3 linked regions of the Oryctolagus cuniculus genome follow. The protein of the gene in region 3 interacts with the protein of the main gene of each other region in a pairwise test. Links are inferred from orthologs where the notes say so. Each region holds a gene or a part of one and is shown on either strand. Other genes may lie near its edges.

The links.
Region 1: the proteins of RBSN (region 3) and EHD3 interact in binary tests that used the Homo sapiens proteins (3 or more experiments, as listed by UniProt). The link is inferred for Oryctolagus cuniculus from reciprocal best matches to the Homo sapiens genes RBSN and EHD3.
Region 2: the proteins of RBSN (region 3) and EHD1 interact in binary tests that used the Homo sapiens proteins (3 or more experiments, as listed by UniProt). The link is inferred for Oryctolagus cuniculus from reciprocal best matches to the Homo sapiens genes RBSN and EHD1.

What each region holds. Positions count from the first base shown.
Region 1 is NC_091433.1:171,394,696-171,396,916, reverse strand, and holds part of EHD3 (EH domain-containing protein 3), read left to right. Parts: intron 1-1,707; coding exon 1,708-2,221. UniProt on the Homo sapiens protein: ATP- and membrane-binding protein that controls membrane reorganization/tubulation upon ATP hydrolysis. In vitro causes tubulation of endocytic membranes. Binding to phosphatidic acid induces its membrane tubulation activity.
Region 2 is NC_091432.1:6,642,463-6,646,029, forward strand, and holds part of EHD1 (EH domain-containing protein 1), read left to right. Parts: intron 1-899; coding exon 900-1,312; intron 1,313-2,831; coding exon 2,832-2,996; intron 2,997-3,191; coding exon 3,192-3,567. UniProt on the Homo sapiens protein: ATP- and membrane-binding protein that controls membrane reorganization/tubulation upon ATP hydrolysis. In vitro causes vesiculation of endocytic membranes. Acts in early endocytic membrane fusion and membrane trafficking of recycling endosomes.
Region 3 is NC_091441.1:113,924,698-113,928,264, forward strand, and holds part of RBSN (rabenosyn-5), read right to left. Parts: intron 2,444-3,567; coding exon 2,202-2,443; intron 326-2,201; coding exon 255-325; intron 1-254. UniProt on the Homo sapiens protein: Rab4/Rab5 effector protein acting in early endocytic membrane fusion and membrane trafficking of recycling endosomes. Required for endosome fusion either homotypically or with clathrin coated vesicles.

The DNA.
Region 1 (2,221 bases), on a different chromosome or scaffold from region 3:
CCAGCAGGTGGAAGACTTTTCTATTTCTCTGTCTCTCTCTCAAATGAAATAAAAATAAATAAATTTTTAATTTTTTTTTCATCAGAATATTGGAAAACCAAAAGCTAGCAGCCACAGAAGCACGAGTAACAGACTTTGTTCTTGTGGTTATTGGCATCTTTAGGTTGGGAAGCAGGTTCTCAGCTGATCACAGGCACTGAGAGACATCTGCCATTTCCCATCTAGTGAAATTAAGAGGACCCACGCACACACATCCCAAGGAGGCATGTACCCCTGGTCATTCATCCCTAGAACCGCCTACTGGGAGCCAGGCACCGATCTCAAAACTGCTTGGTTGGAGCACTTCTGCTCTTTGTCTTTCGGTTCAGACTTTAATGATCTGTAGACAAATCTTTGGGAAGATGGCCTCTGAAAGGGGTCGCACACCTGCTTTTTAATATGAAGAAGCCTTGTGCAGCATCAGTGCTTTGCACTTCCTCATTTGTTTGCCTGTCTGGTGTCCTGTCTGCTCTGTAGATTCTACTAAATCAACAGGGTGAACGGCTGTCATGTGTGTGTGTGTGTGTGTGTGTGTGTGTGTGGTGGGGGTGATGGGCACACCCACCATGCCCCCACAGGTGACAATAGGAGCCCTACTTGGGAGCCTCTAGGGTTAAACACACAGGGAGAGGCATGTCTGCTGGGTTCCCAGACCACGATCAGCCCCCACTGCCTCCTAGCCTTGCCCCTAGGAGGGAGGTGAGAAGCATCCAGGTTCACACTCGCTCTTGAAATGTAGCTGAGGGTGTTTCTGAATTTCTCTGCAGTGAACCCAACACGCCTGTCCCTGTGTGCTGGCTTCCTCCCAGCGTTCTGGGGTTGCTATGGCCAGAGCCAGGGCAAGAACACAAAGTGCTCCCCTTGTCACCCCCTAGAGGCCAAGGAGAAGCTGGCTGTGGTAGACTAGGGCCTTTGAACGTGACAGAACCATACAGAGTGGAGGGTGGGTCGTCACACAGAGGCAAGGAAGGGAGCGTGGAAAGTCTGCTCCTGCCCCTCCCTCCGCTGAAACGCACAGGGGAGAAACCAGTGTTCTGAGAACTCTCTCCGGGTCATTCCCATGAGCATCCTCCTGGACATCTGTAGGTTGTGAGGATGGCTTTGGCTGCCAGTAGGGTTTGATTCCAGTTGCTCTCGGCTTCTCTCACTCACTGGGGGTGGAGTGTGACTTCTCAACCCCTTGGGGCAGTGACCGAGGGGACGCAGTGAAAGTACTCATAATGAAGCGTCTTCAAGCTTCATTAAAGCAGAGACCCCCGGACTCCAGTCCCAAGTCACCCTTCCCCCACGTGTATCCTATATTCTTATGAGCCAATTCCCATAAGCAACCACGCATGCCTGAGAAAGAAGAATCCATTCCACAGCCGAGCTGGCATAAAGAGAAGCGCGATGGTTTACTCTCAATCACAAGAGACCAAACCCATACTTGTTAAAGTCCCCTGTCCCTGCCACCTTTCTACTGCTCATAGACTCCATCCTGGCCCACTGTGCCTTTTCTCCTGTTCCTCTCTCCTGTCTTCCACGATTCTCCGAGGTGACCCACTTAGCCCTGGGGATAGGAGCTGGGCTGTGGACGTCCCGGCATTATTGGAAGCGCACCGCCAGCACGCGGCTGCTGCCTCCCTTCCTGTGTCTTCACTGTCTCCCTCCCTCCCTCCCTCTCCCCAGGACCAGCTCCAGGCCCAGGACTTCAGCAAATTCCAGCCGCTGAAGAGCAAGCTGCTGGAGGTGGTGGATGACATGCTGGCACACGACATTGCCCAGCTCATGGTGCTGGTGCGCCAGGAGGAGACCCAGCGGCCCGTCCAGATGGTGAAGGGAGGAGCGTTCGAGGGCACCCTGCACGGCCCCTTCGGGCATGGCTACGGGGAAGGGGCTGGGGAGGGCATCGACGATGCAGAGTGGGTGGTGGCCAGGGACAAGCCCATGTACGACGAGATCTTCTACACCCTGTCCCCGGTGGACGGCAAGATCACAGGCGCTAATGCGAAGAAGGAGATGGTGCGCTCCAAGCTGCCCAACAGTGTGCTGGGCAAGATCTGGAAGCTGGCAGACATTGACAAGGACGGCATGCTGGATGACGAGGAGTTCGCCCTGGCCAACCACCTCATCAAAGTCAAGCTGGAGGGGCACGAGCTGCCCAACGAGCTGCCCGCCCACCTCCTGCCCCCCTCCAAGAGGA
Region 2 (3,567 bases), on a different chromosome or scaffold from region 3:
GGACAAGTGGGGGCCCAGTCTGGTCCCAACTGCAACCAAAGTGGCAAAGCTTAAACAGGAGGCTTTTGGCATCGGCAGCAGATAAGCGCCGCAGGTACCAGAGTGGATAGGGTCGGAGCTGCAGCAGACGCGCCCTCCATGTCCCCTGGGCCACGCGGCCCCCCCCCCCCCCCCCCCCGTTCTGGAGCTCATGCTTTGTGTCTGTGCCTGTCCGCGCCAGCGCTGATGGGTGGGGCACTTCAGGTGCTGTGCATTCTGGGAGCTGAAGCGGTGACCTCGGGGGCAGCCGTGCCCCGCGTCGGAGGACTTTGAGTTCAGTCGCAGCTCTGCTCCTGGCTCCTTCCCTGCTGATGTGGACCTGGGGCAGCAGGTGTGGCTCAAGTCGTTGAGTCCCAACCACCCTCACGGAGACCCGGATGGGGCTCCCGGCTCCAGCCAGACCCAGCCCTGGCATCGTGGGCATTTGCACAGTGAACCAGCAGATGGGAGATCTGTCTACCCCCACACCCACCCCCGTACCTTTCCAACAAACAACAAAACACCTAAAAAGGCAGCTTTATAGGGGCCGGCGGCTGGGCGTAGGGGGTTAAGCTGCCATGTTGGAGGGCTGGTGTGAGTCCTGGCCCCTCTGCTTACCGTCTAGCTCCCCGCTGGCGCACCTGGGCGGCAGCGGGTGGTGGCCCAAGTGCTTGGGCCCCTGCCCCCACGCGGGAGACCTGGAGGAAGCTCCAGGCTCCTGGCCTTGACCTGGCCCAGTCCTGGCTCTTGTAGCATTTGGGGAGTGAACCAGCGGTAGGAGATGTCTCTCCCCTCTCTGATGCTCCCCCCTCCGGGGGGCGTGGCCTGGCTGTCCAGCCGCCAGGCCTCCCGAGCTCAAGCTGGCCCCGTGTCGCCCCCAGGCTACGACTTCGCGGCCGTCCTCGAGTGGTTCGCCGAGCGCGTGGACCGCATCATCCTGCTCTTCGACGCCCACAAGCTGGACATCTCGGACGAGTTCTCGGAGGTCATCAAGGCCCTCAAGAACCACGAGGACAAGATCCGCGTGGTGCTCAACAAGGCCGACCAGATCGAGACGCAGCAGCTGATGCGCGTCTACGGCGCCCTCATGTGGTCGCTGGGCAAGATCATCAACACGCCCGAGGTGGTCCGCGTCTACATCGGCTCCTTCTGGTCCCACCCGCTGCTCATCCCCGACAACCGCAAGCTGTTCGAGGCCGAGGAGCAGGACCTGTTCAAGGACATCCAGTCGCTGCCCCGCAACGCCGCCCTGCGCAAGCTCAACGACCTCATCAAGCGCGCGCGGCTGGCCAAGGTGGGCCTGGGGGGCGGGGCGTCCAGCAGGAAGCAGAGGCGTGCCCCGGCCTCCTCCGCTCCCCCTGCAGGCTTCCCTGGTGCAGGAGCGTGCGCGGGGCGGGGCGGGGCGGGGCGGGCCTGGGGGGCCCGGGGGGCCCGGGGAGTGGCTCCAGCCCCCAGCCCGGCGCTCCGTGCACACAGAAAGTCCTGGGGTTGTTTGTGTTGCTGTGGGCTGAGCCCCGTGGGAGTGACCCTGGGGAGCCAGGCGCCAGCCGCGACCCCGGGCGGACACTGGGCGTGAAGCCCAGATCCCGGTGAGCTGGCGCCCGTCCACGCAGGCCTCGTCCACCAGCTCCGACCCTTTCGTGGAAACTTGGGGCCCGGTGACGCCCGGCGGGGAGCGCCCAGATTGCTCAACAGTTTGGAATCTCGGGGCCCGGCCAAGGTTTGCGCGCGAGCTCAGGGAGGCTGGGGCGCGGAGATCAAGTTAACGCCACCATGGGGACGGACGGAGGGTGTCCCCTGTGGAGGCCTGACTTTGGACAGCCCCGCACCAGCCGCAGACCCGAGCGTGAGCAGGCGGGTGATGGCCGAGTGCGGGGCCTGGCCAGCTGCTGCCAGGCACCCCAGCGCCGGGCCAGGCTCTGCTCGTCCACCGTCCTGGTGGCCAGTCCAGGCCTGTCACTTCTGTGTCCCCAACTGTCTGGAGAGTGCTGCTGAGAGCGGGCAGCGGTCACCTGCCCGTGGCCCGCAGAGCCGTGCTGGGGACCGGGACTGGGCCTGGTCCTGGGTGTGGAGCCACCCAGTGCAGAACAGGTTTGCGAAAGCCCTGGGACGCCGTGGCCTCGGAGGAAGCAGGGAGGGGCAGCTCCCCGCACAAGGCCCTGAGAGCCGCTGGCCCTGGGCACGTTGAGTCACCAGCCTGGAAAGCCCGGGGGTCTCCGCTCTGTCCCACGCCTGCTGTCGGGCAGCTGTTTCCCTTTTGCTCTGATCCCTTGCCCTCGCGGCCCTGGGAGGTCCTCGGCGCCAGCCCTGTTGACGGCGCAGGGCTGCCGGCCCCAGGGAGGCAGGGGCAGGCCGGGTGGGGGGTGCCGGGTGGGGCCGGCCGGCTGGACTTCCTCGCCAGGGCCGGGAGAACCGAGGGCGCCACGGGGAAGTGAGCCGGGCACCGCCCTGACTTGGCAGGCGTCTGGGCAAGGCATGGCCGTGCAGATAACGCTGGGGATGGCCAGGAGCAGCCGTGCCGCCCTGTAACCCGCGGGGCGCACGGAGCTTGGGGCGTGCTCTGCACACACGCGTGGCGGGCGGCCCTGGGGACCGGCACGGCGGGTCCAATCCAGCTCGTGCACTCGGCCACGCAGCCAGGGCGAGCCTCGCGGGGCACGTGGAAGGCCTGTGGCTGCCGGGCGGGGCCGGGCGGTCCCTGGGGCCGGCTTCGCCTCCTCCCCATGGTGACGCCAGAGTTCCCGCGAGGCCCGCAGGGTCCTGGGAGGACAGCCACAGCCCTTCGGCTCCCTGATGCCCCTCCCTGCCCGCAGGTGCACGCCTACATCATCAGCTCTCTCAAGAAGGAGATGCCCAACGTGTTCGGTAAAGAGAGCAAGAAGAAGGAGCTGGTGAACAACCTGGGCGAGATCTACCAGAAGATCGAGCGGGAGCACCAGATCTCGCCGGGCGACTTCCCCAGCCTCCGCAAGATGCAGGTGCGGGCCCAGCACCCACCCGAATCCCGGAGGTCGGCCCGGGCCGGGACCCCGGGGAGGGGGAGGCGGTGACTCAGCCCCAGCTGCCGGGCGATGGGGCGGGGCAGCTCCCCCGTGTCCGGCTCTGCGGGGTCTGGGCAGCCATTGCCTCCTGCCCCGCCCCCGCCCAGCCTGTCCTTTGTCCTGCGCCCCCAGGAGCAGCTGCAGACGCAGGACTTCAGCAAGTTCCAGGCCCTGAAGCCCAAGCTGCTGGACACGGTGGACGACATGCTGGCCAACGACATCGCGCGGCTCATGGTGCTGGTGCGCCAGGAGGAGTCGCTGATGCCCTCGCAGGTGGTCAAGGGCGGCGCCTTCGACGGCACCATGAACGGGCCCTTCGGGCACGGCTACGGCGAGGGTGCCGGCGAGGGCATCGACGACGTCGAGTGGGTGGTGGGCAAGGACAAGCCCACCTACGACGAGATCTTCTACACGCTGTCGCCCGTCAACGGCAAGATCACGGGCGCCAGCGCCAAGAAGGAGATGGTCAAGTCCAAGCTGCCCAACACGGTGCTCGGCAAGATCTGGA
Region 3 (3,567 bases):
TGCTGAGCCCCGCGGCCTCAACGCCACGCTGCAGCAGCTCCTCACCCCGATGAGCACAAGCCCCACTGCACTCTTCTCACACTGTTCACAAAGCTCCCACGTGCAGCGTGGGATCCACTTAAACACAGACATGAAGAACCTCCTCAGCCGGCCACAGAGAAAAACGATGGCTAGAGCTAAGATCCCCATTTTCCGCTACTGAGAAACTGACCTGAAAGAGTCACTACTGCATTGGAACAGAGGGGACAACTTACTTTAATGACGCTGCCATCCTGATGTACTCAGGGGCCTTCTGGTCAACCTTGTCCATACAGAGTCGCAATTTCTAAGAACAAAAAGAAGTGGTGAGTGATGCCCTCCAGTCACAGAAACTTCCCAGAACTGAGGCTCCAGCCGGAGATGCACTACAAAATGCACCTTTAACAAAAGTGGGTTTTTAAAATTCTATCAATTTCCTAACTTATAAATTTGCTTTTCAAGCAGAAAATCTTTCAAGAAAGGAGAGGAAAGGCAGAGCCTCTGATAGGACGTTTCTGAGGGGAGAAGGTTTTCTGGAGCACAAGCCAAGGTACCCAGCAAGACAGAGAAAAGGAACCAGCAGCTACACTCTCTGCTGGCAACATCAGCCCACAGCAGGACCCAGCGCCACCCAGGCTCACCTCAAAACAGAAGGAAGCAGAAAGCACAAAGACCATCTACAAAAATGAGATACCGGGGCGGGCACTGTGGCGTGATAGGTTAAGCTGCTTGGCAGGAGTGCTGGTTCAAGTCCAGCACCTCCACTTCCAATCCACCTTCCTGCTAATGTGCAGTGGATGGTGACCCAGGACCTTGGGTCCCTGCCATCCCTGTGGGGGATCTGGATGGAGTGCTTGGCTTTGGCACAGTCCAGCCCTGGCTGTTGCGGGCATTTGGGGAGCGAATCAGAGCATGGAAGAGCTCTGTCTCTCCCTCTCTGTCACTCTGCCTTTCAAATAAACAAATCTTAAAGGCACAGCATAAAGATAAATGACTTTGTTTTTAAAAATGAGATACCAGGAGCCGGGACTCTGGCACAGTGGGTTAAAGCCCTGGCCTGAAGCACTGGCATCCAATGTGGGCACCAGTTCTAGTCCCAGCTGCTCCTCTTCCAATCCAGCTCTCTGCTGTGGCCTGGGATAGCAGATATCCCAAGTCCTTGGGCCCCTGCACCCACGTGGGAGACCCAGAAGAAGCTCCTGGCTCCTGCCTTCGGATCGGTGCAGCTCTGGCCATTGCGGACATCTGGGGGAACGAACCAGCGGATGGAAGAACTCTCTCTGTGTCTCTACCTCTCTCTGTAACTTACAAATAAATAAAAATAAATCTTTTTTAAAAAAGCTACCAGGTCAGGAATTACATGCAAAGGATGGATAATGGCTCCATCTGCAGCATGGGTTCAATGAGCAACCAGCTTGAGGATTTCGTGGCTCCCCAACACGGCCACTCCGCCCTACAGCACCGCGGACAGTGGTCACCGAGTGATCGTATCAGATAAAGTATGCTCTTCCTCTGCTCGGGGTTCTGCAAAAGCAGCTGCTTTCCCCCACCCCTTCCCCAACCACAACCCTGCCCAGCACCCCGTCATGAGCTCACAGGTCTCCCCAGCCACTCAGGCAGAGCCACTCTCACTCCCAGCTGTTCTTTGCACACACTATTTCCTCCCACAGTCTGTATCTAATAAGGGGGCTGGGATCACCATTGCTAAGGAGTACTGGGGGTGTCTGAAGGGACTTAGAGAGGGATGCTGGCAGCCTCTAAGAGGAAACCTATAAAGCCTGGAAATCTGGAACACCTTCTCAAACTTTAGAGCTTCAAACTCCCAGAAAGTTTCCCAGGACTGGCTTCTGCCATCTCCAGCTTCTACCCTCCCCGGAGCAACCCACATGGCAACGGCCCCAACTCCCCTTCCCCCGGGCCTCCACCACAGTCCCCACCCCAAGCCCAGCTCTCAAGAAGGCAGGGACAGCTAAGGGCAGGAGTCTGCTGCAGCACTCACAGGGCTACTCTGACTCATTCAGGGCCCTGGCTGGGAAAGCACACCCTGGCCCTTCAGCAGGAAGGAGAAATGATTCGAATGAGCAGCCTCCCAGAGCGTTCTCAGGAACATGCAGGCCTGTGCACAAGCAGCAGCCACAGAGGCCACAGCGGCCACGGGTCAGCCCAAGAGCGCGCTCTGTCACCTCGTAGAGCTTCACAATCTCGGGCGTGTGCTCCTTCTCGTCGATCTGCCGCTCCCTCTTGAGCAGCGTGTCCTTGCAGTGCGTACAGCAGCGGATCCGGTCATCGTCCTTCTCATCCAGGACCGAGCTCACACTGCTCACGCTGCTGATGCTGCCCCGGCGGGAGCCGTGGACACTGTTGGGCGACTGGCTGGGGCTGGTGTGCGTGCTCAGGGAATCCTTGCTGGCACTGGTGAGCTTGTCTGTCAAAACCAAACACCGGCAGCCATGAGCCCCACTATATCCAATTAACCCTCCCCCCACAACTGAAGGCTCCCAGTCCACAGGCACTAGATCTGGGAACTGACACAGTCAAGTGCGTCCTGTGGTGAGAAGTACCTGCCTCTCTCCTTCCTGGGGTGGGACCTGGTGGTGAGAAAGGACTCCCGAGCCATGCAGACAAGATCCAAATGGCCCAGAAGGCTTGGAGGCCCACCCCTAACCTAGCCTTACCATTCACCCCACTCCTCCTTCTGCCCTGTGCCTCGGATACACCAAATTCTTCCATGAAACCACCCCAAGACATCCAGTGCCTACCCTCTCCAAAGCCCAGCTGAAAAGGCAGGTCCTCCAGGGACATCCGTCCTTCCGGTCAGTTCCCACCACACAGTGCACTTTGGAGCACTTCCCACTTTTCTCCCTGTACAACAGTCAGGGTGCACCCCAGAGCTGGCCAAGGAGCCTGTGTCACTCACTGCAGCTGCCCAATCGTCACTGGCCAATGAGCCAAGAGAAGGCAAACAGTGTCCACAGAATATAGCTTATGAAGTCTCAGGGACAGGAAGTGGTCTCAGGGAGAAAGGCAAAGTATTAAGGTGAAGTGGGCCTGGGGGATGTGAGAGTCGGCTAGAGACACGCCTGCTTCGGCCCCCCTCCTGTGGCCAGCAAAGTACCCAGAGTCAGCAGTACTCTCCAGGGTTACAATCCACCCCCGACAGCCCAGTGAGATCAACTTCAGCAACTTCTCAACAACCAGCTGAGATGCAAGTCTGCAGCATCCTGTTCCATCTAACCTTTGGAGCCTCCTTCCCACAATCCTCAACTCTGTTCTCACACTCCTCTCCTGGAGTCCATGTGTTCATCTACTCATCTGCCCCAGGGCCTTTAGATGTGCTCTCCACTCTAACCAGAATTCCTTCTTCTCCATCTTCTGAGCAGTCCTACTCACTGCTCAAGGTACTTCCCAAGTACCACCTCCCAACCAGAGCCCCATGTTCCCACTCTCCTGAGCCTCCCACAGTACTAGTACCTCCCACATTACAACATCACAGTCTCTTCCATTGGACAATGAGCTATCTGTGACTTTTATCCTGAAGGAAGGAACAGC